Linked DNA regions of Rattus norvegicus. Each later gene encodes a partner of the first gene's protein in a complex. Links are inferred from orthologs where the notes say so. Each region holds a gene or a part of one and is shown in the gene's direction. Other genes may lie near its edges.

What was found.
Region 2: Lin54 (region 1) and Mybl1 share a complex: the UniProt entries of both Homo sapiens proteins name them as parts of the DREAM complex. The link is inferred for Rattus norvegicus from reciprocal best matches to the Homo sapiens genes LIN54 and MYBL1.
Region 3: Lin54 (region 1) and Rbl2 share a complex: the UniProt entries of both Homo sapiens proteins name them as parts of the DREAM complex. The link is inferred for Rattus norvegicus from reciprocal best matches to the Homo sapiens genes LIN54 and RBL2.
Region 4: Lin54 (region 1) and Tfdp1 share a complex: the UniProt entries of both Homo sapiens proteins name them as parts of the DREAM complex. The link is inferred for Rattus norvegicus from reciprocal best matches to the Homo sapiens genes LIN54 and TFDP1.
Region 5: Lin54 (region 1) and Lin52 share a complex: the UniProt entries of both Homo sapiens proteins name them as parts of the DREAM complex. The link is inferred for Rattus norvegicus from reciprocal best matches to the Homo sapiens genes LIN54 and LIN52.
Region 6: Lin54 (region 1) and Mybl2 share a complex: the UniProt entries of both Homo sapiens proteins name them as parts of the DREAM complex. The link is inferred for Rattus norvegicus from reciprocal best matches to the Homo sapiens genes LIN54 and MYBL2.
Region 7: Lin54 (region 1) and E2f4 share a complex: the UniProt entries of both Homo sapiens proteins name them as parts of the DREAM complex. The link is inferred for Rattus norvegicus from reciprocal best matches to the Homo sapiens genes LIN54 and E2F4.

What each region holds. Positions count from the first base shown.
Region 1 is NC_086032.1:9,456,604-9,460,470, forward strand, and holds part of Lin54 (protein lin-54 homolog), read left to right. Parts: intron 1-2,112; coding exon 2,113-2,255; intron 2,256-3,867. UniProt on the Homo sapiens protein: Component of the DREAM complex, a multiprotein complex that can both act as a transcription activator or repressor depending on the context. In G0 phase, the complex binds to more than 800 promoters and is required for repression of E2F target genes.
Region 2 is NC_086023.1:14,364,070-14,368,688, forward strand, and holds the start of Mybl1 (myb-related protein A), read left to right. Parts: upstream 1-1,698; 5' UTR 1,699-2,055; coding exon 2,056-2,075; intron 2,076-3,304; coding exon of another isoform or gene 3,305-3,373; intron 3,374-4,619. UniProt on the Homo sapiens protein: Transcription factor that specifically recognizes the sequence 5'-YAAC[GT]G-3'.
Region 3 is NC_086037.1:32,061,687-32,065,553, reverse strand, and holds part of Rbl2 (retinoblastoma-like protein 2), read left to right. Parts: intron 1-823; coding exon 824-1,090; intron 1,091-1,247; coding exon 1,248-1,528; intron 1,529-1,740; coding exon 1,741-1,917; intron 1,918-3,867. UniProt on the Homo sapiens protein: Key regulator of entry into cell division. Directly involved in heterochromatin formation by maintaining overall chromatin structure and, in particular, that of constitutive heterochromatin by stabilizing histone methylation.
Region 4 is NC_086034.1:82,900,305-82,904,757, reverse strand, and holds the start of Tfdp1 (transcription factor Dp-1), read left to right. Parts: upstream 1-1,591; 5' UTR 1,592-1,777; exon of another isoform or gene 1,778-2,400; intron 2,401-2,586; 5' UTR 2,587-2,649; coding exon 2,650-2,661; intron 2,662-4,453. UniProt on the Homo sapiens protein: Can stimulate E2F-dependent transcription.
Region 5 is NC_086024.1:109,828,713-109,833,273, forward strand, and holds the start of Lin52 (protein lin-52 homolog), read left to right. Parts: upstream 1-1,536; 5' UTR 1,537-1,543; coding exon of another isoform or gene 1,544-1,555; coding exon 1,556-1,574; intron 1,575-4,561. Other genes in the region: Aldh6a1 (methylmalonate-semialdehyde/malonate-semialdehyde dehydrogenase [acylating], mitochondrial precursor), read right to left, coding at 919-969.
Region 6 is NC_086021.1:172,123,343-172,127,687, forward strand, and holds the start of Mybl2 (myb-related protein B), read left to right. Parts: upstream 1-1,462; 5' UTR 1,463-1,656; coding exon 1,657-1,676; intron 1,677-4,345. UniProt on the Homo sapiens protein: Transcription factor involved in the regulation of cell survival, proliferation, and differentiation. Transactivates the expression of the CLU gene.
Region 7 is NC_086037.1:50,087,322-50,090,136, forward strand, and holds part of E2f4 (transcription factor E2F4), read left to right. Parts: intron 1-368; coding exon 369-587; intron 588-2,815. UniProt on the Homo sapiens protein: Transcription activator that binds DNA cooperatively with DP proteins through the E2 recognition site, 5'-TTTC[CG]CGC-3' found in the promoter region of a number of genes whose products are involved in cell cycle regulation or in DNA replication.

The sequences.
Region 1 (3,867 bases):
TGAGTTCAAATCCCAGCAACTGCATGGTGTCTCACAACCATCTGTAATGGGATTCGATGCTTCCTTCTGGTGTGTCTGAAGACAGCTACAGTGTAAATAAATAATTCTTAAAAAAAAAAACAAACCACACTCGTGTACACACACAAAATAGTAAATCATAACCCTCTGGCTATACAGAAATTCTTTATGAATGGGAAATTGTCATGTTATCAAGTAATTGTTATCAGATAATAACAGAGTTTAAGCTATAGTACGTTTACCAGACTCTTTAATGTCCTCAATGTTACCCAGTTCCTTTTTATTATATACTTTAAAGTGTACCATTAGCAGTAACTATATCATTTCAGATATTTAGATTTCAAAGGCTCTGTTAGGAACATAGTTCAGTTAGTAGAAAGGTTGTCTGTGTCTCAGACTCTGGTAGCAATTTACATTAATATCAAACAACAACATCCAAAGCTGTCTCGGGTGCTGTTCTTCAGTCCTTGATCATTTATAGCATGTTGCAAGTTAGTCCCAGCTTTGCCTTGAAATTGCAGACAAAATGTTCAATGTGTTAGTTTGCAGAGGAGGGTGGGAGTCAGGATCTTGCTCTATAGCCCTAACTAGCCTGGTGCCCATTCTATAGCCCAGGCTGGCTTTGAACTCACAGTGGTCCTCTGATACAGGCTCCCTAGTGCAGCTGATGCTTTTTCAAAATATGTTAAGATTGTTTTTTAAATTGGGGCTTTCTCATTGAGGATGGATTTACCAAGGTATACCTTGATTCTCTAAAGTATAGATTTGGTCTTGGCACATCCTTGCTTAAAATATTCTTTGCTTGGTTTCATTTCTTGGCTTTGACCTGTCAGTATTAAGTTTACAGAGTAGGAGAGACCTGACTTCTCCAGGCTGTCTTCTAGTTTCTATGTGCACCTGGCCTGCAAGCAGCCAGACCCTGAGAACACACTAAATGACAAATAGTAAGGAGGAGGAAATCAGATGGTCCCTGGAGGAAAATCCAGCAGATTCCTTAACAACAACAAAACCCCTGGATTGATTGATTTCTGTCTCTGTCTTCCCTCCCTCCCTCCCTCCCTTCTTCCCTCCCTCCCTCCCTCCCTCCGTCCCTCCTTTCTTTCTTTCTTTCTTTCTTTCTTTCTTTCTTTCTTTCTTTTTCTTTCATGTGAGTACACTGTAGCTGTCTTCAGACACACCAGAAAAGGGCATCAGATCTTTTTACAGATGGTTGTGAGCCACCATGTGGTTGCTGGGATTTGAACTCAGGACCTCTGGAAGAGCAGTCAGTGCTCTTACCAATGAGCCATCCCTCCAGCCCCCTAAAGAAACATTTAAAAAGTACTTTTAAATAGTTTTTAAATGTTTGAAATTATATTGATTGTTTGTATACTGTTATCTGTTTGTGTCAGAGTCCAGAAGAGGGTATCAGACCCCCTGGAGGTAAAGTTACAAGGGGTTGCAGCCTCCTGATGTGGGTCATGGGATCTGACTCTGGTTTTCTGTAAGAATGGCATGTGCTCTTAACCCCTGAGCCATCTCTCTGGCCCTAATAGCTGTTTTGTAAGTGTCTGTATGATTTTCGGTTTTGTTTTTTGAGTTACATCTTACATATTCCTGGCTGACTCCTCTGCTACTGAGAAAGTCCTTGGATCCTCAGGTCTCTACTCCCTAGTGGTGTCCCATCTTACCTCGTTTATGAGGTTCTCCTGGTTCCCTGCATGCTAGGCAAGCACTCTGCCAACCACGCTGTCTTCCCTGCAGAACTGTGGGTTTTAATTTTGCCCTTCATGATTTTAGTTCAGATAGGAAGATAGCTGTTGTCCCGGTACAGAGACAAAGATGACTTGGGACCCAAGTCCTGAGTTGCCCCAAGCTTTCTCTCTCTCTGCTGAGTTGCCCCAAGCTCTCTCTCTGATGGCTTAACTGTGGTTCAGGGGCACTGTTAAGTAATCAGACATTATTAAGAAGTTTTATGTTGTTTCTTCCTGTTGTTCATTAGGGCCTCATCAATGTCTCTAACTAAGACCCTCATACCTAGACATCATCGCTCTGTGTGTAAGTTTTTAACTAGTACTGTAACTGATCAGCTGATGTATTCCCTCTCATTTGCAGGCAGGGTTCTTTCACAGTCTGCTCCTGGAACTCCATCCAAGACTATAACAATATCAGAAAGTGGTGTTATTGGCTCAACTTTAAATTCTACAACACAGACACCAAATAAGATAGCCATCTCACCTTTGAAGTCACCAAATAAGGTAAAAGAAGAAAATGAGCCCCAAATGCCAAATTGTGGTTAATACTTCTGTGGTCTTACAAGTAACTTCAAGGATTTTGATTTTCACATATCCCCAAGCAGACAATAGGTTCTCAGTGGATACAGGATTGATTTTCTAATCAGATTCCTTTTGCTTGTTTAGGACTGAGTCTACTATGTAGCCTTGGGTGGCCCAGGACCTAAAAAATCTTAAAATCCTCGTGCCTCTGCCTCCCCAGTGTGGTCCTAGGCAGGCAGGTCCAGGATCCCTCCACCGTTTGGTACTGGGGTTTGACAGGAGCTCTACCACTGACTTCTGCCTTCAGCCACAAGCAAGGAGTTTTGGCGAGTGAAGATTTCGCCTTAAACACTTGGCAACAGAGTAGTCATTGGTGACTTTTATGGCCCGTATGGATATAAATACAAGTTTTTAGTGTAGGGTAGGATGTGGTTAGTTACTCTTCAGCTAGTACTTGGGTAATAATAAACAGCTACAGTGAGTTGTGATGTCAATGCTGAAGTAACTTTGTGGGGAAGGGGCTCCGCTGGGTACCATTGAGGACTGGAGAGGATGTCAGGGGTGCTAAGCGTACCATCAGTGGATCTGAGCCTAACTGCGTTTTATTCTAAGTATTTGAAAACTTTACACCATTTGTTTTCATTCTAAAGTGGCAAGTATCTAATTTACTTCCCTAAGACTTACAAATGTCATTGTGCCAATGTAGAAAAACACAGAAACCAGGTATATTTTAAACGTCACATCATTTTTTTTTTTTTAGATGCCACCATATGAGTCTGGAAATACACTATCTTTTGTTGTCAACTTCCTCCTTGATTTGTAGCTATTTATAAATAAACCAACATCGAATGTTTGCTCTCTAATATATAAATGTGACGTACAGCTTATTACAGGTGGCATCCAGATACAAAGTAGTAGTTCATATAGGCAGTGCCTTCTGTGACAGAGGACTCAGTGTCTCGTCTCATGCACTTCAAGCACTGGGGCTGAATCATAGAAAGATAAGGAATGGGGTTGGGGACTTGGCTCAGTGCTAGAGCACTTGCCTAGCAAGCGCAAGGCCCTGGGTTTGGTCCCAACTCCGAAAAAAAATAAAAAAGAAAAAAAGAAAGAAAGAAAGATAAGGAGCATTCGAAACTGTGCAGTTTCATTATCTCAGGCAGACTGACAGCGTGTGCACGCTCCTGTGCGTTTGTGTGTGTTCACTAATTATCTCAGGCAGACTGACAGCGTGTGCACGCTCCTGTGCGTTTGTGTGTGTTCACTAATTATCTCAGGCAGACTGACAGCGTGTGCACGCTCCTGTGCGTTTGTGTGTGTTCACTAATTATCTCAGGCAGACTGACAGCGTGTGCACGCTCCTGTGCGTTTGTGTGTGTTCACTAATAAGATTTATACAGAGAACGCTCTTCTTCTGTTTTGTCTGCAGAGTCTTTCTATATAGCCTAGCCAGCCTTGAACTCAAGGCTGTCTCAGCCAGCCATCTAGTTTACTCCCATTAACCCTGGCATTATGTCTCACCATGTGGCTAGCAATACCTGTGCTCGGCTCCAGTCCTCCTGTTCACGTCTGTGTCTGCTGGAGAATCTCTTGG
Region 2 (4,619 bases), on another chromosome or scaffold:
TAAAGAAAACTCTCAAATCTGTTTGATACATTTGAGCTATTGTATGTAAATGGCTGTAAACTATTTTAATTTCCTACTTCATATTTCTTTTAAGATTTAAATAATTTTGTATTTTTTAGATTTCTTAAACATAAATTATACAGTAGCATACAAAAGTAATATTATCTTTGGGAGAATGTTTCCTTATATAAAACATTGAGAATAAATTTTACTTAAAAATCTGACTCATTTACTTTCAACTTTTAAAAAGGTAGTTTGGTTGTACAAAGCTGATTATAACCTAAGCATATCATAGTTTTGCTCCCTGTTAGAATAAAAGTGGAATAATGTATACCCATTTGAAGACTAGGAGGAGCATTCTATCATCTAGCCCTGGGGAAGCTGAGGTAGATCATGAAGTAAGTCCAGTGAGTTCGAGGTCAGACTGGGGTAACATAACAACACCTGTCTCAAAATATTAATATCTAAATTAGTCTCTCTGTAGAAGTTACTATGGAACCCAGAAAATAATTTAGAAGCGCTTTTCCTTCCCAAAATCTATCTTGAGAAAAAGGAAGTTCTTTTAAAAAAGAGAGCGTGTGTCTACCTGATTGTAACGAATTGCAAGCTCATCTTGATTTGTATCTGCACCTGTATCTGTCTCTGATTTGCAAAAGACGATGCGTACAGTTTCAAAATAGCAAAAATGTCAGTTTGTTATAATATTAATCTGTGGTTCAGCATTCTATGCAGTAGAGCATGGTGCCTTGCAAATTTGGGCTCCTCGTCGTGTCTAATCATTACTGTAGTTAATAATCTCCTTGCTTGCTTCTTTAACCGTGTAATTCCAATTGTTAAGAGAAGTTGCAACTGTAAGAAGCTCCTTCCCCTACGCAAGATTCCAGTTATCCCAGCATTGAGGCGCACCTCCCCGACTCTGGGCTCCTCCGCCACGCAGAGCATCCCGCCCCCTTTGTAGATGGAGTACGAGGTTGAGCTTCTTGAGCACTACCAACCCATTCCCGTTCCACGCAAGCCTCTAGATAACAACGTCACCCTTGTCACACTGTTATTCATCTTTGGGGAAAACAAGGGACTTGGCCAATTTCCTTGTCATTTCTGCGTAGAACTAACTCACACATGCTTAAAAAAATAACGGCCTTGGCTAGAAGGTTAAGTAGAAGACCGCGCCCCTAAGTGGCGAGGCTCACGGCGCGCGAACCAGCACCCGCGAGGTCTTCCCCTGCCCAGAACCCGGACTGTCCCCGCCCCAGAGGCACGCTCCACACTCCTCCCGAGGTGGCAGCGGCTGGGTCGGCCCGGCTCTTCTTCCGGCTCACTCCCCGGAGCGCAGAAACTCGCCTTCCCAGCAACCTCCGCGCGCCCCACTGCCGTGCGGCTGGCTCACACAGCGTTCCGGGTCCTGTCACCTCGGCCCGTGAACCGGCCTCGCGCCTTCGCCTCCCCACCCCCTGGCTCCGCGGCGCTCCCGGACTCCCGCGAGTTCCAGTCCTGGCTTCTAGCCCCGCCGACCCCGCCCTCCGCCGCGCGCGCGCTCGCCGCCCCGCCCCCGCCCCCCTGCGCGCGGCCGCCCCAGCCAATGAGGTTCGGGGCCGCGTGCGCAGATTCAAACGGCGGCTCTTGAGGGAGGCTGGGCGCGAGATTCGGCGGTGCGGACAAAACCCTGCAGGAGGCTGCGAGTGCTGCAGAGCTGCTCGCTGCGGGGAGAGGGCGGGGGTCGGCGCCCGTGACGGAGCCGCGCAGGGCCGGCAGCTCCAAGGCGGAGGCGGAGGCGGCGGGAGGGGCGGGCGGAGGGCGGGAGCACGGCTCCTGACATGTCCAGGGCATCCCTGGCCGGGCCGGGCCGCGGCTAGGAGCAGCGGGTCTTGGTCCGCCCCTCTGTCCCTCAGTCCCGCCTGGCCCTGACCTGTCGGGGCCTGCGTTCCGCTCTCTCGGCCACCTGAGGGAAGGAGCGGGGTAAGCGGCGGGTGGGTCTCGGAGAGGGCGCACTCGCCCCAGGCTGGAGGAGGCTGACCCGCGTCCCCGCCCAGCCCGCGCCTATGCGGTACTTGAAGGATGGCGAAGAGGTCGCGCAGGTGGGTGCCATCCCCTCGGCCCCGGCCTAGCGGCCCTGTCTCGGCTCTTGCTCTCTGTCCTTTCCTGCTGGTCCCCATTCAGGCCCTCTCGGGCCTGGGCATAGGTTTTTCTATTCGGTGTCCCACACCCGATTCGGCCGCGCTGGCCGGAGCGCATCCATCATTATTAGACTCCATCATTATTAGACTGCTGTATGGAGGACTCTAACAAATGCTCAGGTTGCTGCTTTGACGGACTCTCCCACAGCTCACGCCCAGACTCCTAACTTCTCACAGCCACTTACAGGGAGGTTTCTTGCCAAGTAAGTTTGTGCACTGCCAGGGGATATGCCACGCCAGGGGAAGTAGTTGTGTTTGCCTGGATGATTTGAAGTGGGGTTTTCTCCTCTGACTTACGGTGCCAAATCAAAATCCTCCTTTGGATCTCCATGACAAACAAACCTGGGCGGACATTTCTGTGAAATCTTGAGAAGGGAACCTGTTAAATCTCCCATGTACACACTGCTGTTCTGAGATTTTTTCCCCCTTATTATCTTATGAGGACATTGTTACGTTGTTACCATCGAGTAAACTTGATCCTAAACCAATGTGTTTGAGTTACTTTGTATCTCAAGTATTCATGTTTGATTCTGATTGTATCTGTGTTGTATTAAGTAGGACACAATGTTATTGTTGTTGTTGAAAGATTTGCTTTTGTTGAAAGATGTGTATGCACCTAACTTTTATTTTATGCTATTCTAATAGCTACTCCTAAATTGTGTAGCATAATCGGATGACAAAAATCTACTGTCTGGATTTTCAGTTTTCTCAGTAATAAGGAAACCTGAAAAGCATTTGGCAGAATTTCCAAATACTTTCATTTATCTAGAAACATAGCCTCAAAATCTTAAGAGTTTTATTTCCTGAGCTGAAATTTAGTACTGGGAGTCATCCAATGCAGATTTTGATTTAAAATAACTATGCATAGAATACATGGCTTTATTAATTTATTAAGCATCTTCTGTATGTAGGTTGGTTCTGCAGCTATCAACATAAATTTAGTTATGACATAATTACTTTATGTGTAGTGGCTGCAGAATAGATTGAACATTGAAGTGGAAAAAGTGTGCATGTGTGCACACAGGCACCCTATCTTGGTCCTGTTATCATTTTGGATTAGGTAGTTGTAGGGTTTTTTAGCAGCACCTTTGTCTCTACTCAGTAGAAGACAGTAGCCCTTTTTCCTACAGTCGGGACAACCAAAACTGTCTACAGACGGTGGCACATATCTTTGGGGGGATGGAAACAGGACCACACAGGTAAGAAACTGCTGATCTACACACAACTTCAAAGACCTAACATTCCCATCTTCAGAAAACATGCACATTTAAAAATAAGATTGCTGGAATACTGCTTTAGGCTTTTGGAATTTTGAAGTCTAACAATGCTTTTAAATGTTGCAAAGTAACAAGTGAATGCACAGTTAGCTACTTAGAATCATTGTTCATCTCACTTGAAACTTGGCTAATGCTGTCATCATCATTTAGTTAAAAGCTATTGCTAGAGACTGATATATGAATGTCAGATTCTCTCAGGTTTTGTTTTTTTTGCCTTTTCATGTCACAGTTGATCTTGTTTCCTAATAGTAGGCTAAGAAATGATTTAACAATTGCTTATAGTAAGTTATTTTATTAACAGTACTGTGAGTTTGACTGCTAAACATTAATTATACTGTTGACTTTTATTTCTTGCCAGATGTGTAAGTTAATTGAGGTAATATAGAATGGTGTAAAAAGTTACATGTCTAGAATATTGTGCTGCAGGGAAACTACATTTCTATGGGAGTGTATAGATAGAGGGTGTGGGGAGAGATCACCATTTCTGGTCTGTTTTTTTGGGTTCTCTTCAGTGAGTTCCATGTGCTGTTAAACTTCTTGTATATTTAAATATGATTCACGTATTAGAAGATAATAGAATGTGAAATGTTTGAGGGTGAAATACCTTATTAAATGGGCTCTCTTTGAGAGTCTTAGTGTATACAAGTTCAATATATAATAGAGAAACAAAGATCTCAGCGTACAAACACTAATGTGGATGCAATGTTTTGCATAAGGATATAGGCACAAATATAGTAGACCTTTTTTCTATTATCTGAGAAAAAACAAAACATCCTAAGAGCAGAAAATGCTTACCCTAAATAGGAAACAACTGACGATGTTGGTTCTTTTTAGTTTTTTAATAGCTGTAGAGTTTGTCACTAAGATTTGCATGTAGAAAAAGGTTATATAGTATTGTGACTTAAAATAGTTTTAGAATTTAATAGGGGTTTTAATAAATGATACAATTTACAGCTAATTCCTATATTAAGATATCTATTAATACCATGAATTTGATTTTTAAATATTTTATGTAAAAATAGGTATAGTGTTATTTCATACTTAAACTTTTAAAAAATCTTTTTCTGGTATGTGTGTGCTCATTCATGAATGCATGTGTGCCTGCATACATGCAGTTTTACCAGGGTATGAAAGCTGAAAGGACAGTTATCTGGAATTAGTTCTCTCC
Region 3 (3,867 bases), on another chromosome or scaffold:
GCTACAAAGAGAGGCCTTGTCTCAAAAGACAAATGTTTAAGAAAGAATGGTAATAGTTATACGATGCTGTATGTATGCATTTAAAAATGGCTAATGGTGATAATGTTTTTTTTTTATATTTTGCAACAATTTAAAAATATATAAGCCATTGGGTGAAATGTATGGTACATGAGTCATGTCTCAATAAAGCTGTTTAAAACTAAGTTTTAAATCTAAACCATACATGTCTATCTTGCTGAAGAATATGGGGTTGGTCATCTTCCCTTGCGGAAAAAGGCTGAACATTCACTGAAGGCTGAGGAGAAACCACAGGACGCAGGATGGCAGGCAGGTCATCCTGTCTCCTGCTAGGTAACATCTTTGTTAAGACTTGAGTATGGAGGGGTTGGGGATTTGGCTCAGTGGCAGAGCGCTAGCCTAGGAAGCACAAGGCCCTGGGTTCGGTCCCCAGCTCCAAAAAAAAAAAAAAAAAAAGAACCAAAAAAAAAAAAAAAAAGACTTGAGTATGGGGGAAAGTAAGTGATTCCTTAACCGGCCTCTTCATCAAAGTCAGCAAGGGACAAGGCGGTTGAGGACAGGGCCTCGCTTCATTTATGGGAAGAAAACCAGAAAGAGAGCACTGTGGGACATAGCATTTCCTTCATGAAACGCTTTCAGTTACATTCCTGCTAGGATGAATATGGGTGTACCATGACTTCTGTACTTTTTATTTGCTTTTAAAATTATGAAGTATTTGAAACACACTGAATTTCTTTTGAACAAGAGCTTAGCTAGAAGTCAGAACTGTCTCTTTGTTAAATAGTCTGATTTCTTTTGATCGTAGGTGTGACATCTCCAACCACATTGTATGACAGGTACAGTTCCCCAACAGTCAGTACTACTAGAAGGCGGCTATTTGAGAGTGACAGTCCCTCTGAAGGAAGCACGGCTGGGCGCATCCCCCCACAACCCCTAGTCAATGCTGTCCCTGTGCAGAATGTATCTGGGGAGACTGTTTCTGTCACACCAGTTCCTGGACAGACCTTGGTCACCATGGCAACAGCCACTGTCACAGCCAACAATGGACAAACAGTGACCATTCCAGTACAAGGTAAGGAAGGCAGGGTTAGGGGTTGAGTTCTCTGGCATTTGTCAGAAAGTCACCTAAGTTTGGGAAGTGTCAATGTAAGATAATGATGGAAGACGGGGGGCGGGGGGAAATAAAACCTTCATGTCGACCATTCTTTCTTCTTTGTAATAAACCGCAGGTATTGCCAACGAAAATGGAGGGATAACATTCTTCCCAGTCCAAGTGAATGTTGGGGGCCAGGCACAGGCTGTGACTGGCTCTATCCAGCCCCTCAGTGCTCAAGCGCTGGCTGGAAGTCTGAGTTCCCAACAGGTGACAGGAACAACTTTGCAAGTCCCCGGTCCGGTGGCCATTCAACAAATTTCCCCTGGAGGACAACAGCAGAACCAAGGCCAGCCGTTAACCAGCAGCAGTATCAGGCCTCGGAAGACTAGCTCCTTATCACTTTTCTTTAGAAAGGTAACCTTTCATGTACCCTTACTGGAGCACAGGCTCAGGAAGTGTAAGCATTAAACAAGGTTTGAAATATTCTTTTTGTTTTTGTTTTTGTTTTTTTTGTTTTTTTTCCGGAGCTGAGGACCAAACCCAGGGCCTTGTGCTTGCTATGCAAGCGCTCTACCACTGAGCTAAATCCCCAACCCCGGTTTGAAATATTCTTATCTCTCTGTTAGGTTTACTACTTAGCTGGTGTCCGCCTTCGAGACCTTTGCACAAAACTAGATATTTCAGATGAACTGAGGAAAAAAATTTGGACCTGCTTTGAATTCTCTATAGTCCAGTGTCCTGAACTTATGATGGACAGACATCTGGACCAGTTGTTAATGTGTGCCATTTACGTGATGGCAAAGGTAAGTACTATTTTTAGTACTGGAAAGCCAATGATGCCCCTTTGTTCCCTAGAACATTTTTAGATAACCACTCACCGAGTCTCATATCCCAAATATGTGCTGTCAGCAGAGCTTTAGAACAATCCAGCTTATAGACATTGGGCAGTAATTTTTATCCATCAATTAATAGACATGTGGGTTGTTCCTCACAGTTGTGAACAGCACTGTTGTATACATTGTGGGTGAAATTTGTGTAGACACAGGCTTCCGTTTCCCTCAGAGTAAATGCCTAGAAATGGATCTGTGGATCATATGGGAACTGTATGTTTAAACACAAAGGAACTGCCAGGCTACTTCTCAGAGTATGGTTCACATGTTTATATCCCTATTTAATATATAAAGTTCTTAATTCCTCTAGTTTCCCATTAGTACTTAAAAAAGATTTACTATATGTTTGGAGGGGGAGGGAGTTTTTGCCCTGAGAATTCATTGCCAAATTTGAGATCCAGTATCGTGAGGCTTTACCTTGTCTAGAAGATTCTAGAAGAGTCTGCATTCCAGAGTTCCTGACTCATCGTTAGATGTGGTATGAGATCCAAGTCCAGCTTCACTCTTTTTGTGTTGCTTTCTGGCCACCACACCACTATTTAAGCCCCATCTCCCCACTGAATGAATGGTTTTGGCATGTTTGTGTTAGCAGACACATGGTTATGTCATGTAGTGGACACATGGGTTATGTCAAGACCGTCTATTTGACTATGTTGATCTTTGTCCATCATACGTAGACCTTTACACTCTCAATGACTCTTGCTTTTCTATAAATTTTGAAACTGGAAAATACGAGTCCTAATTTTATTTTATTTTTGATTATTTTAGTTATTCTGAGTCCCTTGGAATTCCATAAAAGTTTTAGAATCAAGTTGTCACTGTCATAAAAGTCACGTGAAAATCTGTAGATCAGTTTGGAGAATTCAGTCATGTAGGGGTCAGTCTTCCTTCAGGAACGTGGTGTGTTCTCACATTTGTTTAGGTCTTCAGTTTTTAACAATGACCCATACTTTCAACACGTAGTCTCCCCCTTGTTGTTTTTCCTGTAGGTTTTGATGGTATTGTACATGTAGCTGTTTCGTTTTTGATGTACTCATTCCAAGAGTTCAGAAAACAGTTGGATTCTGGGCCTTGACTTAGTATCCAACAACCTTGCTAAGTTGGTTGTTTTTTGTGGTGCAGGGATTGAACCTAGGGCTGTTAAAATGCAAGACAAGCACTCTACACTCAGCTGTCTCTAGTCCTGAAACTCTTACTGGGTTCTAAGCATATTTTGTGTCAACTGTTTTGATGGGCAGATAATGCGGTCTTAATAATTATACTATTACTTGTCCAAATTCCCTGTCTTTCTTAATTGCCATGGTTAGAACATCCAGTGCAATGTAAAAAGCAGAAATCCTTGTATGCTTCCTGGCCTTACAGAGAAAATAATTAACTAGTCTTTCCCTATCGGAATATGGCATTAGATCTCTCTCCACCCCACCTGTGAGTGACCTCAGGTAGGCCGCTCTCACCCGGTGAAGGATTTTACTTATTGTTGTTTGATAAAAAGGTGTTGGATATTATTAAAGGCCCTTTTCTGTATTCATTGTGGGGTTTGCTATGCTAATGACATCGTATACTACATTAGTTGGATTTCACGTCAGATCACCTTTGCAAATCTCTTGGCTTATGGCAACAATTTTGGATTGCACGTTTGGTTTACTTGTTTGTTGAGGAATTTTGTGATTATTCACATGCTGCTGATTGGAATTTTATTGCACAGCTTTGTCTGATTTTGCTCCTAGGGTAATCTGGCCTTTTAAAAAGATAAATGTTTCCTCTTATTTTCTGTCATGTTTGATATTAGCCAAGAAGTCCCTGGAACCTGCTCTTTTCTTTGTAGGTAATATGTTGGACTCAGCTTCATTGTCCCTATATAGG
Region 4 (4,453 bases), on another chromosome or scaffold:
CCCTGGAATTCTTCCAGTGGCCGGGACCCACGTCTTCACGTCTCTGCCCCTTCATAGCCTTCTTCAGTCCTGGCACTTTACCTTCTCTAAGTGTCTTCCCATTTCTGTCTGTCGCCCCACCACCTGTGTGCTGCTGCTCTGGACCTGTTTGCTCCCCAGAACTCTTCAGACTCCCCCTTGCTGCTGTCACTGCTCTGCTGATGCTCTGTGGTTTATCTCTTCATATTACCAGTCTAGCTTGTAAACCGTCACCTGAGAGGAGTTCCTATTGGATGAAAGACTCTCCCAGCTTACTGAAAAAGTTAGCCAAATAGCTTGTTTATATAGTCAGAAATGGGGTGTGGCAAGGATGTTTGCACCAATCACAGCCTTTCTGCTCAGCCATTACAGATGCTTCCCCCTCCACCCCACCCCCACCCCCTCCCATCCTGGGTGAAGATGGTTACTAGAGCTTACTAAAGCTTGTGATGGTAAGAGGTCTGGTGCAAGCTATTGAGATACTCATGCCTTGGGTATTGCCTTCTGGAACGGTAGCTGTGCTTTAGCAATAAGCTGCTGTGGTTACAGTGTTGCTTCCTCAAAGCAGCTGAGGAAGAGTTCTAAACAGGACAGCAGCTTGAGGACTGTTCAGTCAAATGCTAACTCGTCTGACCAAGGAAGCTAGGTAATAGAGAAAGATCTGTTTGGGAGTCAAATTTGGCTTCTCCACCCCTCAGAATAAAATTTGGTCGCTCACATTAACAGTTGTCTGATAGTACTGAACAGCGCTCTGGTCTTTAGTCCCATATGCTTGGGAAAAGTTGGGTCATTTTATCTGAACCACTTGGACTGATTTGCAAGCCACAGTCTATTCTTCTCCCAGGCTCTCCAGCTTTAGTCTTACACATACATACACACACACACACACACACACACACACACACACACACACACACCTGTCTTTCAGGCTGCTCCCTCTGACTGCCCAAGTTCAGGCCCTGTGGCTGTGGAGGTCAATAGTTGAGCAGAGGTGGGGGATCTTGTCTCTGCATTGTCCAATATGCATCCTAACAGCCTTTACTTTGTTCTGTATAAATGTACAAGACTCCTCCCCCTGTGGTGCACATGCAGGTACTTTAAAGCACGCTCAGAACTGGTCATTTTTTTCCCTTGTGTGTACACACTCACCTATTCTTTTCAGTGTGCAGGCATTAAACATAGGTATCCATATTTGTATGCACAGAGGGTTCTCTTCTATATATACGTCCAGGCATGCACACACACGACTCATACTCCATGAATACACACGTGTCTGTATAGCGAGACTATGGATATACACAGGTGTGCACACATCATCCTTTCCCTATGTGTACATGCAGGTATGGCACACACCACAGACTTTTCACCGTTGGCGCGCGTGGCACACACACATACACACAGAGGCAGACACGTGGCCCTCTTCTCCCTGCGCATGCACACAGACATGCATACAGTTGGCCCTTGGTGTACACACACAGAGGCGCGCACACACGTGGCCTCTCTCCGAGCGCACATGGAGGCGCGCGCAGCGCTTTTCAGCGTCGGCGGCCGCCACACGCGCACGCGCGCACAGGTCCCTCCCCTATCCCAGGGCGGGTAGCACCGGCGAGAGGCGCGGGAGATGAGCGGCGGGAGGAGGAGGAGGAGGAGGGCGCCGAAGGCGCGAAAAGGCGCGCAGGCGCGCTGCGCGGAGCGGGCCCGCCGCCGCCCACGTCACCGCGCCGCGCGCACGTCACGCCGGCCCGACGCTCGGCCCAGGGTGAGCCCGCGTCCCGGCGCCGCTGGCTCAGGGCAGGGACCGCCAGGGCCGGACCTCCGGGCCGGCGCCCCCGCGCCCCCGTCGTCCGCCCCGCGCGCCCCGCCGGCCAGCCAGGTGTGGCGGGGGCACCGGCCGGTCGCGGCGGGAGGGCGCGGGCTGGGCGCGCGGCCCCGTTCCCGCCCCAGCCCGGTTCCCGCGTCCGGTCGCATCCCGCCCGCCGCCCAGCCTCAGCCCGGAGTCGGCCTCGACGCGGCGTGGCGTGGGCGGCAGGCAGGGGTCCTGGCCACCCTCCGGCTCTGTCCGCGCCAGCGCGCGAGGCTGGTGGCCGGGCCTAGTGACAGGTGGGGCGGCCGGGCGGCCGGGAGCCCACCTGTCAGAGTGGTCGGCGGCACCTCGGGGTCTTGGGCAGCCCCGGGGCCTGCTGCAGCCCGGGCAGAACCACGCAGTGTCGTGTGCCTAAGTGGGGGGCCTTGTGACTCGGTGGGGCCTGTGGTCAGGCGGGGCCCGCGTGCCCAGGTGGGGTGAGCCTGACGGCTGCGCCTCGCTCCGCCAAGGGGCCGGGGTCTGGCCCCTCTGCGGGTGGGAGCTGCTGGTGCCCGCAGGGAGCATTTCCATTTGGAGAGGTGACTTAAAATCCCTGTGTGGGACCTGCTTGGCTAGCTCTCCTGTTGGGATTGTGCAAGAAAGGCCCCTGCTGCCTGGAGGCCTGCCTCGTGCTGGTGGGGAGATGTTTCCTTTGAAATGCGATGTGCGTTAAACTTCTTTTTTTTTCATTCTCATTCATTACTCGTCCCCTTCCTTTTTACCAGATAAGTCCGGTTTCTTCTGTGGAGGGTACGCAGTTAAAGCCTTGATTTCCTGGATCTGGTAACATGGCAAAAGATGTAAGTATGAGTTCTGCATGCTGCAGACATGTTAGCATAGCTCGCTGCAGTTCTCTCCCTTTATTTGAGAGTGGCCATACCTGCGTGGCAGTGGTTTGCTCAGACATTTTACAGGCAGGAGCTGGGATGGAGGTGAGGGGTGGCCAGTCAGTAGGTGGGTGCCTCCCCTCCGCACAAATGTTCTTTGTCATCTGAAGCCTGGCACGTTTTTTTTTTTTTTTTTCTTTGTGGTTAAGATGATGATGTCTGGATTTTTCTTTAATCTATCTAAACCGCTTGAATACAAAATTTGTGTTTGAATGCATCTCCCAGTTGAAATGAACGTGTGAGGGGGGTATTTTGCTAGTGGGTTTCCACGAAGGAGAGCTGTCAGCATGCAACTTACGATGCATTATGCATGAAACTTAACTTGTTTTATGTAGTATGTAAGACCGTAATTCCACTTTGATGGGTTGAATCCCAACTACTTGTTTGGGCACATTTTTCTCTCAGAAAGATGACGTTTGGTGGTTAATGAAACACGGAAACGCTGGTTGGTTAAGCTTCGTATTTACTACAAAGCTACTGAGCATTTGAAATTTCTTTTTTGAAATGGGTACTGACAGTTAGGCTTTTAGGGGGCAAAAATACAGTCTGTGATTTTGGTCACATACATGTTCGCAGTATTACTTTATAACTCCCTCCAACACTGATCGTGCCTGTGCCAGTGTTTCAGCATTCACTGTCCTTTGACTATTAGATGAGTGTAATTTTCTGTGCAGCCCTGAAAATGCAGGCAGATAATACCACATCAGCTAGACTTGTACCCAAGTGCACTGAAACTGTGGCGCAGGTACCGAGTCTTGTCCTGACTTAGAGGCCCAAGGATTTAGTCATGCCTAGTGGCCCACCTGGATCAGACGGTGTCCGTCTTATGGTCATCAAGCACTGGACCTGCTCTTGGGAGTCGAGTTCCACCCTGAGAGACCGTGTGTAGGTCACCTGAAGTCACAGCTGTATGTGGCGTGGGGCTCGATTTCGTTATGTCTGTTGTTTGCCTGCCTCCACGTCCTGACTCTTCCCCCCGTGTGTGCCTAAGGAGAGACGTGCCGCTCAGTGCGTGCCCACAAAGTAGCTAGGTCTGGTAAACGGTGTGTAAGCAGGGCACTGGCTCCCGTGCCTTCGTTGAGACCCCATGGCCTGGTGTGGTTTCGGGGATCATTGCATCTTCTTCAGTGATCTTCAGTGAGTCAGCATGCTCCAAGTCCTGTCACCTCAGTTTTGCATCATGCACTCCTGTGTGCTGTGTCCCTGGGGAAGGGGTGGGTGGGTGGGTAGACACCATGATGGCAAGTGGTCAGGATGTCCTATCCAGTGGAGAGTGTGAGGCCAGCTGGTTTGGGGTTAGCCATTGTGGTATGGTGAGGCCAGTGCTGTGACTGGGTAAGAGCGCTGCTGCTTTGTCCCTCCACAAGTGCGCACAGACCTGGGCAGAGGCGAAGCGGCTCCCCCTGTTCTCTGGCTGGAAGTGGGGGTTGCAGGGTTGGGCCTTCCCTGTGCTTTTTCAGTAGGATGCAGTATTGGGGTTTGGAAAGGGACTTTGTAACCTGTGCTGAAGGGTAGGAAAGAGGCACCACTGGAGCTGTGTAAGCACTTGATGCTTAAGACGAACTCTGGCTGTAAAGTGCACTGTCGACATGGGGCTCGGAAGGCCATGACGCTGGCGAGAACAGAGGGGCAAAAGTCACGCTCTAGGTCTCAGAAAGGGCAGACAGAAGACAAATAGCTTAGGGGCTTTTCTGCCCCTGCTGGT
Region 5 (4,561 bases), on another chromosome or scaffold:
AAGAATCTTGCCGGGAATAGAGCAAATCTTGTGTCAGATTCTAAGTCCGTGCTACGATGCAAACACATGGGAAAGGCTATAATCAAAGCCGGGACCACAGGCCTGAGGCTTCTGTAGCTCTACAACTTCCCTTGGGCTGGCTTCTTTCTGTGCGGTTAAAATCGTAGCCTAGAAGAGTGGAGGGTGTGTTGGCACTTGAGAACTGACTCTGGGAACGTGTCTTCCTAGGGTCTCATCTTCTACCACCTGTTTGGGGAATGTTTAGTAGCGTTAGCAAAACAATAACGCCCTTATTTATCTCGAAAGTTTAACTTCGCTGAGAAAGTTTAACTTGGCCCAGAGCTTGGGAAAAAAACACTAAGGGCCAGAATAGTTGGTAAACGCTAGCAAATGGCTGCCTTTGATGTGAAAAGCCAGGGTACATGTCTAGAGATTCAAAGTTTCTTCTCTGACCCTTGTTCCATGTTCCTACCCCCTCTTACCTCACATAGAGGCTGGATGGGGGAAGGGACGCTCCTGGCAAAGGAAAGTATTCTATAAACAGTAACCAAAAGGAGTTTCTGGGGCCCAGAGGTGGCTGGCACAGAGGTGAAAGGGAGTCCGTGGGAGGAACCAATGAGAGAAAGCAAGCCCGCGGGTGATAGCAAAGACTGAGCTGGACTGAAGGTGGGTGGGTCAGAGCTAGAAAAGGAAAGGATCAGGAGTAAAAGTGGGGTGGGCCAGGCGTGACCGTCCGGGGCTGGATTCCCGGGCCAGGCAATACGGAGTGACAGCTCAAACACACGGGTCTGGTGGAACACAAGGGTCTGCAAAGAAGGGTCTGGGCCAAGAAATCTGTCCAGCAGAAGCATGGTTTAGAGACCGGGCGGAAAGGACCCATTTCTAACGTCATGGTCCCTCGTCGCCACCCTCACTCGCCTGCAGGATCCGGGACCGCACTGCTGCTGCTGCCGCCACTGCCGCCGCCATGGCTCACCAGACTCTGCCCAGCTCCCCGCGCCTCCGCTGCCAGTGCCTCCCTAGAAGCTACAGCGCTAAGCTACGCCCCGAACACAACCTAGCCTCTCCATTGGAGGGAAGGGGCACTTTTCATAACCAATCATGTGTCAGGATTCTTGACTCCACCCATCACTCCCAGCCTTGGGGATAGGTGATTGGTCAAAGGCGGAAGCGTTTTCCTCTTCTCTGACTTCAGCCTATTTTTGTTGGCGGAGATAGGGAGACGCCCCCTAGACTTGGTACTGCATATTAAGCACACGGGGAAGACGCCCCCTAACCGAGAACTCCGATTGGCTATAGGTAGGCCCTCAAGGTCCCGCCCCTTTGCTAAGGAAAGTAAATAAAGTCCTTGAAGAATTTTGCCTGAGTTTCACCTTAACTACCACTCGCGGGTAGGGCTGCTGTCTAGGGTGGGACTAGGCAAATATTACCCTATGAGATAGGGAAACGAGACCGGGCTGTGAGTTAAGGATAGGTTACCCCTGTAAGGGGCGTGGCTTGCGGATCCTCGCTTTCCCGCCGACGGTTGGCCACGTCACGTGACATGGGCTGGAAGATGGCGTCTCCCACAGACGGTAAGAGCCGGCTTGGAAATTGTTGGCCTGTAGTCTCATTATTTGCTCCTCTGGGAACTTCCACAGCCTTCACGCTTACGCTTTTTTTCTTGGGCCCCTCTTCCTTCTCTCCCACTTCTCTTCTTTGGGCTGTGTCGGCTTTTCAGCTAGCAGGTGCCTGGTACCAGGTCTCCCCGCTGTGTACTAGGTAGGTGAAGGAGGCCACCAACCGGTGAGACCCTATCCGGGAAAAGGACAGAGGTCGCTCCGGCCCATCGGTGATGCTGAGGGGAAAGGGAGGGAACTTTCTTTTTGAACAGGCCCATTGGAGTGTTGGTTCTGTTCTCAGTAGAGCTGAGACGAGTCTCTCAAGCTCTATAGCTTTGAGTGGTGACTGACATGAGGTCTAGGGTTCATCCCTGTACCAAGCCGGGAGAGAAGGATGCTTGTCCCCTCAGTTCAGGACCGTTGCCTTGGCAGCAGGGAACCGGGGACCTGGTTTCCTTACCCTGATTCCCGAGGGAATGAAAATTAGCCTTGTTAATGTAGTTTCGCACGCTTCTCAACCCTTAAACCATCACTCCCTCTACTTCATGTGTTGTTTCCTTAGACTGAGGGCAGGAACAATTCTGCTTGTATTTCGTCTCAGGTGGTAAATAGGTGTTTTCGTTATACCCGTATGCTTTTGCTCGCGGTTCTGCTTTAGCATTTGGAATTCTCTTCTGTCATTACTCAGTATCTCAGTATATTCCTTGTCTATTAACTTTGCCCGGGCCACACCCAATTATAAATTCCAAGTCTGTCTTATTTCATACGTTTAATCCTAGGTTCTAGAATAATGCCTGTAAAGCATTTGGCCATAAATAAGTTAACGTTCATCCAAAAGTGAAACTGGCCTTGGTATGTGACCCCTAATTTTAGCTACTTGGTAGATTGAGGCAGGAGGATTGTTGCTTCAGGCTTGTCTAGGCTGCAGAATGAATTGTAGGCAAAATGTGTCTCAAATACAAAGTTGGGGTTTAGTTGGCAGTTGTTGGGTTTTGTTTTATTTTATTTTTTAACCCTAGACAAGGTTTCTCTGTGTAGTCCTGGCACTTGCTCTTTATACAAAGCTGGCCTCGAACTCAGAGCTCCTCCTATCTCTGCCTCCCAAATGCTAGAGTTAAAGGCACAAACCACCACCACCCACCTTCAAATAAAAAGTTTTCTTTTAAAAAGTAAGGGAAGAGTGGCTGGAGAGATGGCTCAGCGGTTAAGAGCACTGACTGCTCTTTCAGAGGTCCTGAGTTCAATTTCCAGTAACCACATGGTGGCTCCCAACCATCTGTAATGAAATCTGGTGCCCTCTTCTGGTGTGCGGGGGTACATGCAGGCAGAACAGTGTATAGGTAATAAATCTTTTTAAAAATGTGAGGATACAGGGGGCTGGAGAGATAGCTCTCAGTGGTTAAGAGTACCTGGTGCTTTTGCAAAAGACCTGGATTCTTTTTTTTTTTTTTAAGGTTTATTTATCTAATGTATATGAGTACTTTATACACCGTAGCTGTCCTCAGACACACCAGAAGAGGGCTCCCATTACAGATGGTTGTGAGCCACCATGTAGTTGCTGGGAATTGAACTCAGGACCTCTGGAAGAGCAGCCAGTGCTCTAAACCACTGAGCTATATCTCTCTAGCCCCAAGACCTGGATTCTATTCCCAGTATCTACATGGCAACTCACAACTGTGACTCTGACCTCCATGGACATCAGGTATGCATGTGCTCCACATATATACTGTGCAGACAAACAGTCATACACATAAATAAATCTAAAAATGAAAAATAAAAAGTAGGGATGTAGTTCAGTGGTAGAGAGCTTGCTTATCATGAACAAGGCAATAGGTTCAGTCTTTAGTACTAAAAAGCATGACTAGATTATATTAAAAATAATGTTACCAGATCTCCCTCCTTTCTTCCTTCTTTCCTTTTTTGAGATAGGGTCTGACTGTATGGCCCAGATTGGCTTCAGACTCACCATCTTCTTGCTTTCCTACCTGTGCTTCCAGTATGCTGGGATTAAAAGTGTACCACTCGGTAGGGCACTTGCCTAGCAAGCGCAAGGCCCTGGGTTCGGTCCCCAGCTCTGAAAAAAAGAAAAAAAAGAAAAAAAAATGTACCACTATGCCTGGCCTCTTACTTGATTTCGAAGTTTCAGGTTTAACTGCATTTTAAGTTTTGAACACATTCACATACCTTAAGGAACTGTGTTCATAATAAAAGAGATTCTCTAGCATGTGTGATTTTTTTTTTCCCCCTAAAACATCCTTTTCTTACTAGCAAAAAAAAAAGTGTTGGTAGGATTTTTGTCGGTTTTTTTTGTTTTGTTTTGTTTTGTTTTTTTTAAATTGAGGTTCATCTTGGTGTCTGTGGAGGTCTACTGAGAACAAGACTTCTAAAAGGTAGGGTCTGGAAGGATGTGGTGCAAGGCCAGTTTTGCTAGATGTGTGAGGTCTCTAGAATCAAAGAGAGCATATAGCTCTTCTTCAAATCCAGGGTGGTTTTATCTGAGATGATACTAAATTCGACTAAGGCAGGAGATGTGCTTATGTGTATAAAAAGTTCACACAGTGACTCCCAGAGGCAAAACTAAACAAGCAGAGTAATCTGGGGAGAAGTAAGTGGGGCCTGTAGAAATGGTGGCAGCCATTGTGTAAATGCCAGTGGATGCAGAATTTATGGAATGCTAGACCCTACACAAATCTAAACTAACGAAAAGTAAACAATTCAAAGAACTGAGGTTTGTGACATTGCAATTTCTTGAGATGGAGAGGGTTGGGAAAGTGGGGTTTGAACAGCAGTATTAAGGGGTTTTCCCTACATGTAAATGGACAGACATCAAGTAGCTCCTTGGACAGGAGAATGGTTGAGCCTTGAGATGTGAATTGTCATTGGTACATGATGGTGAAGTTGTCTTAGATCTGAGTGGCACAGACTGCAAGAGGAGTCACTGAGAAGAAACGAGTGTAGTA
Region 6 (4,345 bases), on another chromosome or scaffold:
TTATTTATTATGTATACAGCATGCCTGCATGTAGGACTGCAAGCCAGAAGATCTCAGTATAGATGGTGTGAGCCACCATGTAGTTGCTGGGAATTGAACTCAGGACCTCTGGAAGAGCAGACAGTGCTCTTAAACTCTGAGCCATCTCTCCAGCCCTATTCTTTCCTTTCTTTACCTCTAGAATTACAGTTTGGGGGAAGTCAGTGACTCAGTTTCTCCATCTGCTACCAGGTAATACTTAGCATATAACTCACTGGATTCTTAAGATGATCAAAGATTTTTATGAACTGTTTTTGTAGATGAGGAAACGGGCATGGAGAAGTTTGATAGTTTGAGATAATGGACCCGGGGAAAGGTGGGCTAGGAATCAACCCCTGGGAAATACGGCTGTAAGCCCACTAGCAGTGCAGAGCCAATGTCCACATGAATTTCTTTGAAGGGAGAGAGGTGGGGGAAAGCCTTGAATTATGCCTGGTGGAAACTGGTAGCTTTTAAGTCTTCATTCTGCTGTAGTGAATGAAGTTTTCAGAATTGTACTGTCTAAAGGTGGCCAGCAGTTTTTCTAAAGAGATCTGAGGTCTGAGCCTAAAGGACATTTGGCTGGGGCCCTTCCAGGAAGTCCCAGTAAGATGACTCTCAGTATTTAGATAGTAAATGACAGCCTAAAGTGGACAGCCCTTGCCATCAGAGCTTGTCTTAGCCATTAGAAATTGAACCCGGGGCTGCTGGAGTCCCAGGATGCTCACAGTTCAGCTAGGGAAATGCACAAAGCAAGATGGACAAGAGACCCCAATGAGGGGAGATGTGGGGAGTTACTGGTCCAAATAACGACCCAAACAAAAAGCTGGGAGGCCAAATTTCGTCTCTCTGGGCTCGGTGTGGTGATCTGGAAGACCTTTACAATAACGGAGTAACAAGTTTAACCCAAGAGGAGAGGTTTAAGTTTGGTGAGAGGAATGTTGGGATTTTGAGCTGGGTCCCTCTGAGGCCGCGGAAGAAGCAAGAGTTGCAAAGGAAAAGATGCAAACCTAGTCAAAGGGAGCATGGGGCCTCTGGGGACAGTCTAAGCAATGACAATTTGGGCGGGAAGTTTCTCCCATTCAGTTCTTTCAGTCTTTGCTATGTGTGTTCCTGGGGGACTATCTAAGATCCACACAGAGCCGGTCCCCGCGCCTCATTGAATCCCAAGGTAGGTGTATCTGGACGTAGTAGATTCCCAACCGCAGCTGGAGCATCTGCCGGCTTGACTAGCACTTTCGGTATCAGCCCTCCGGTAAACTACTCCCCTCCTCCCCTCCATGGGCTCCGCCCCTCCCAGGCTCCTCCTAGGGCCCTGGCGCGCCGGCTCCGCCTCTCGTCTCTAGTACGCCTGGCCCCTTCCGTGAGCTCCGCCCCCGCGAGCTCCGCCCCCGCGCTCGCGCGCCAGGGCCGGGCGGCGCCGACGCACTTGGCGGGAGATAGGAAAGTGGTTCAGTGCGCTCCCTAGGCAGCTGCAGTTCCTGGGAACGTGCGACAAGACCTGCAGACACGCTGACGCCTCAGAGCACCGCCTGGGGCCCGGAGCGGCCGGTGCAGCCTGAGTCCTGACCCCGGCCCGGCTCCCGCTCCGGGCTCGGCCGGCGGGCGTAAGGGCGCGGCGGGGTCCGGGCCGGGGGGATGTCTCGGCGGACGCGCTGGTGAGAGGCTGCGGGCGCGCTGGGGTTTTCGCCCTTCTCCTTGGGTCAGCAAGCGTGAGATGGGGATCCCGGGAGAAATGCACCCCGCGCCGCCGGGTGCAGGGGCGCGCGCCACGTTAGAAGCTCTAGGGACCCCTCGATCGGTTCCCGGGCCTCCTGGGCCCGGGAGCCTGAAAGCGCGGGTTCCCCCTCTAGACCCGGTCCCGGCCCTGGGTGAGGTCCATCGTCTCCCGCCTAATTGCTGGGTGGGGAAGGAAAGCTGTTGCCCGCGGTGTCAGCTGGAGGCCCATTACTGGGTAGGGAGAATGTCTCCCCTTGTCGCAGCGAGTGGAAGGCAGAAGTCTGGGAGACACTTGTCGTTCAAGAGTGGCTCGACTTTGCTGGCGTTCTTTTCTTGTTAGCATTCCGGGAAGCACAAAGCCCCTGGGCCCTCCGCGGGATGTGAGGCTGGGGACTCGTTGTCTCTTTGGGGATTCGGCGGCCGGTTCGGTTTGGTTTCAGAATTCCTCTTCCTGTCCCACGCTAGTTTTGGGCAACCGGGGATGAGTAAAGACTAATGGTGTGCAACGAGACTGGTCTGTCAGCAACCGCTGGGCCAAAGGCAGGAACTACGTTTCCCTCCTAGTTCCCTAGAGGTTCGGTGGCTGAGTCAAGTCTGGACCTTTGGTACATCTGTGTATCTGGGGCCTAATCGCGGGGCTTTCTAAGGAGTGGGATAATAGGGTTCCGCTGTGTTCTCTTTGGGACTCTCCAATTGAGAACACCTTACTCGAGTCTTCAGATGGCCGAATCAAGCTTCGGTTGAGGATAAGGAACAGAGATGCCTGCTTGCTTACTTTCAGAGTTCCTCGGGCCTGGGGCGGGTATTGGTTGGGTCCGTGGGCGCTGATCAGTGTGGTTCCCCATGCCCCAGTTTCTAGGGCAGTTCAGTGCCCAGGAAGAGCGTCTGGAAGTACTACTCCGAGAGCGCCGGGGTTTACTGGAGGGACCCTTTTGTGAAGCACGGGCTCAGTGTCCCTGCATCCTCACGTAGCCTTTCTCTGCCACATGGTGTAACTCCCTGTACCCCAGTGGCCCATTTCCCTCTTGGCCTCTGACTCACCTTTCCCTGGAGCATAGCCCAGAACGTACAAGGGCATGAGAAATGGTATGTGTATATACAAAAATGTGACTTTTCTTTAAACAGCACACAGGCCTCTGCTTTTTCATGCTATGGTTACCAGGGAGGTTAGGGTGTAAAAGTGTGGAGTTTGATGTGGCATAATCTTTGTTGGCCTCACTTTTCACATCTGTTAAATGGAGCCCTTGAGAATGCCAGAATGCATGTGAATGATGGATACTCCCATCTGTTTAATAGTGTGACCCTGCCGGGTGGCCACACACACCTTTAATTCCAGCACTCAGACAGGCGAATCTGAGTTCGAGGAGCAGCATGGTTGGTTTACAGATGGAGTTCCAGACTACATAGAGAAGCTGTGTCTCAAAGAACCGCCCCCCCCCCCCCCCCCAAAATAGTGTCACCATTACAGGGCCCTGAGGCTTCAGAGCTCTGCTACACAGATTTTTTTTTTTTTCCTGCGACATTGGCCAAGCTCTAATAGAATCAGGGCCTTGTGCTGGGTTTTGGAGAAGCAGACTCAATTGTTAGGACTTTAGAGTGGTAGGCAGTGCATGGGTCGGGTCAGACATGACTGAACAAAACTGCGTTGCTAGGTCTAGGAACGTCTTTTCATTTTGGTTAGGGTTTCTAGAATTGTTTAGTAGGCGGTATCTTTGCAAGGATTCATTCATTCACAAATCCACTCCTTCCCTGGGCAAATATTTCTTTAGGCCTTTTCTGTGCCAAATTCCAGGATGTGAATGAAGGTGGAGCTGACCTTTGTGGGTGATGTCAAGACCCGAGGTTGGAACTGAGGGCAGGGCCTGGCTTTCCAAAGTGCTTTGGGTGTGTAGGGGTGACTGGAGAGGCTGTGAGGAGTGTGAGGGAAGAAAGGGGAGGGGTGTGCAGACACCAGCAGCACACTTTGGGGCACAAAGTGTGGCCTGTCTTGCTTGTTTGGAAACCTCCTCTTTTCCCAGTTACATGACTGACTTCACCTTTAGTGTTTGTTAGAGGTGACCCAGTGCAGGCCCCGGGGAAGGATTAAACGAGTTCTGGGAATAACTGGTTGTTTTCCTTTCTTCTTTAGTTATGTACTTGTGTGTGGCTATGTGCACTTGGGTGTAGGTGCCCACAGAGGCCAGAGTCCCTGGATCCTTGTAGAGGTGGGAATTGTGGGAAAGGGGGTTAGAGGTTAAATTTGGATCCTTGTCAAGAGCTGTGTGTTCCTCGACAGAGACAGCTCTCTAGTCCCTAACGAGCATTCCTAGAACTTCATAGTATGATCTCCTTTCTCAAAACCATTAAACTAGGTAATAGGACAGCAGTCAAAAGGCTCCATGTCAGCCAGGCCGTAGTAGACCCTGCCTTTAGGTAATCCCAGCAGGGAGACAGAGGCAGGCAGATCTCTTGAGTCTGCCGAATGAGTTCCAGGATAGCTAGGGCTACACAGAGAAACTGTCTTGAGAAACAAATAAAAACAAACAAACAAAAAAGAACAAAAACTTCCATGTTCGTTCTTTGAAGCTTCCAGACGTCAAATCATTGTATTCTGAGGTCTTTGTTTTCC
Region 7 (2,815 bases), on another chromosome or scaffold:
TTCATATTTCTGGGATTTGAACTCAGGTCAGGTTTGTCCATGAGTGTCTTAATTCACGAGGATCTCACTTGCCTGAATATGCCCTTTCTAACAAGGAAGCTTTGACTATATAGGCAGCATTAGTAGGGTAGTTTATCCCAGATTGGACAGTGTCTGATGGATCCTGGCAACCCCATGAGTCTCCCTCCTCCAGGACATGTGCTCTATCTTTAATGATGTTTTCTAGTGCTTCTTGGTAACTAGTGGTGACTAAGTCTCCTTGGATTTGGCTACCAGCACTGTGGTCATCCTGGTCATAGGATCTAGCCTATGGCAGGTGTAGGGTCTATTTCCTGACTCTGTGTTTGGGTTTGGGGATGTGGTTGCAGTGAGTGGTAGCCCTGGAACTGAGAACAAGGGCAGTGGTGAACTCAGTTCACTCCCACTGGGCCTGACAGCACTGGACACTCGACCTCTGCAGTCCTCTGCACTACTGGATAGTAGCAGCAGCAGCAGCAGCAGTAGCAGCAGCAGCAGCAGCAGCAGCAGTTCATCTGGACCCAACCCTTCTACCTCCTTTGAGCCCATCAAGGCAGACCCCACAGGCGGTGAGTACTTACTGAGGGGTGGGGGCCAGCAAGGAGAGTCTTGGAGCTGGCAGTTCCTTTCCTGCTAACCTCTGCTCTCTGCCAGCCAGACAAGGATGCCTAATCTCCAGGTCAGTGCCTGTGCCTCTTGCCCGTTTCTGGGACTTCATCCCCCCTCCTGCCACCACTTGGAGCATCACTAAGCCTCACTAATTGAGATTTGCTGCTCTTCGTACTCACCTCACCATTCTGTTTTCCTTTCTACGTATGAATGCCTTTAAAAAGTAATCCTTGGTCACCCGTGTCTGTCAGCTAATCCTCCACCACAGGGCTGTAGCTGTGCTGTTCTTGGTGTAGTACCTGGCCCAGCAGGTTTCTAAGAGTCTAGGCCTGGTGCTTTCTTGGTCTCTTCTGATGCTCTTTCCTCTGTCTTCACTGTCAGCTCTTGGCTTTTCTGCCTCACTGGCATCTGATACTTCCTTAAACATTGGTACTTACCATTTTATATCTGGGGTGGGCCTCAGCTCTAGGGAGCTGATTTTGAGTTTCGGCCTCTACATAGTCTAGATCTTTTACCCAGTCTCCTATACACCTGCCATAGACGACTTGCATATCTGGTGGACACCTCAACTGAACTTAACCATCCTGCTTCCAGTTTGCCTTTCAAGTTCTTTGTGGACTCTTATCAGCTAGCTCTAATCACCAACAGGCTTGAGATACCTCTGTATCATCCCAGTTCTGCTACCCACCTTACATGGGTTAGGTAAAGTTTGTGAAGTCTGTATGGGATTAAAAGATGCGTGCCACAGCCAGCTCTCTATATTTTGACCATTTACAAAATGACCCTCTTTGCCCTCCTAGTACCTTCTCATCCCTCTTACATCTTCAGCACACCAAAAACTATACACCATTTTAATTTTAGATTTATAGTAATCTTTTAGAACATTTTATCTATATCTTATTTATCTACTGGTAATTTCAGATATCTATACAATGTGGGGGTGTTTTTTTTTTTGTTTTTGTTTTTTGTTTTGTCCTTTTTAAGACCGGGTTTCTATGTAGCTGTCCCAGAACTTACTCTGTAGACGAGGCTGGCCTCTGCCTCCTGCCGTGTGGGATTAAAGAATGTATGCCACAATCAGCTCTTTTTGACCATTTACAAAATGACCCCCTTTGCCCTCCTAGTACCTTCTCTTCCATTTTCATGTTCTCTTCATTCTAATTAGCACTCCATGTATGCACAGATCCAAAGAAAAGTGACTGCCTCTTTTCCAGCTAGTTGGATGGCTTGGTCTTGTATAGATACCATAGATGCTTGTGAGTTCACAGTACAATGGCCATGTTGTATCCAAAAGACAGTATTTCACAACACTCTTCCCATCCTATGGTTTGTACAATTTTTTTTTCTATGTTGTCATTTAAATCAAAGAACCAAAACAAACAGCCAAGTTTGCCACCTCCCCATCTATAATGGCTGCGTCAAAACACTGTAAAAAGGAAACAGATTGGAATGTCTGGTGAGTTCTGACTCAGGAAGCAGAACATCAGAATGGCCTGTTGTGAGACTTTACTTATGCTTCCTCAACAAACTGGCCTCTTGGTGATCTCTCTTCTTCAGTTCTACCCATGACTGCCATAGTAGGAGGCCTGGGATCAGAACCCACAGGCCACTGTACAATATTTCTGTATACCCTCTTTAGTTATATTTCCTGAACCTTGGGCTGAGCACTCAACCTAATCTCAGCAGTTTATCAGGAATTTCTGCATTGACTCCTGCCATTTTCTCTAAGCAACATGTAAGCATGAAAATTTAGGAGGCAGTTTGATAAGCATATTAATTAGCAAGGCAACAGTACTAAGTTCTCCCCTAGGATCAACGATCTCTCTAGCTATGGACTTTTGCAAGGTTTACAGTATCAGGCATGAATTATACCTGTGGGGCTGATCTCAAAGCCAAGTAAAGGGGTTGGTTACCCTCCTAAGTTATGCCACTATTGCACCAGAAGGCACATCTTCCCTGGTGGGTTGGTTTATTCCATGCAGGGGCTATTGCCTGTTAAACCCACTAACCCATCCTTTTTATTCTCACAAATGGAATGATCTTTCAGCAATGCAATCCTGATTGGTATTTCTCAGTGTGTAAATGTAGCTGGGGATACAGCTCAGTGGTATGAGAGCATGTCACCAGCAACAACAAAAAGTACTGGGGATGGAGAGATTATGCATTCTTCCAGGAATTGGCCTTAGGA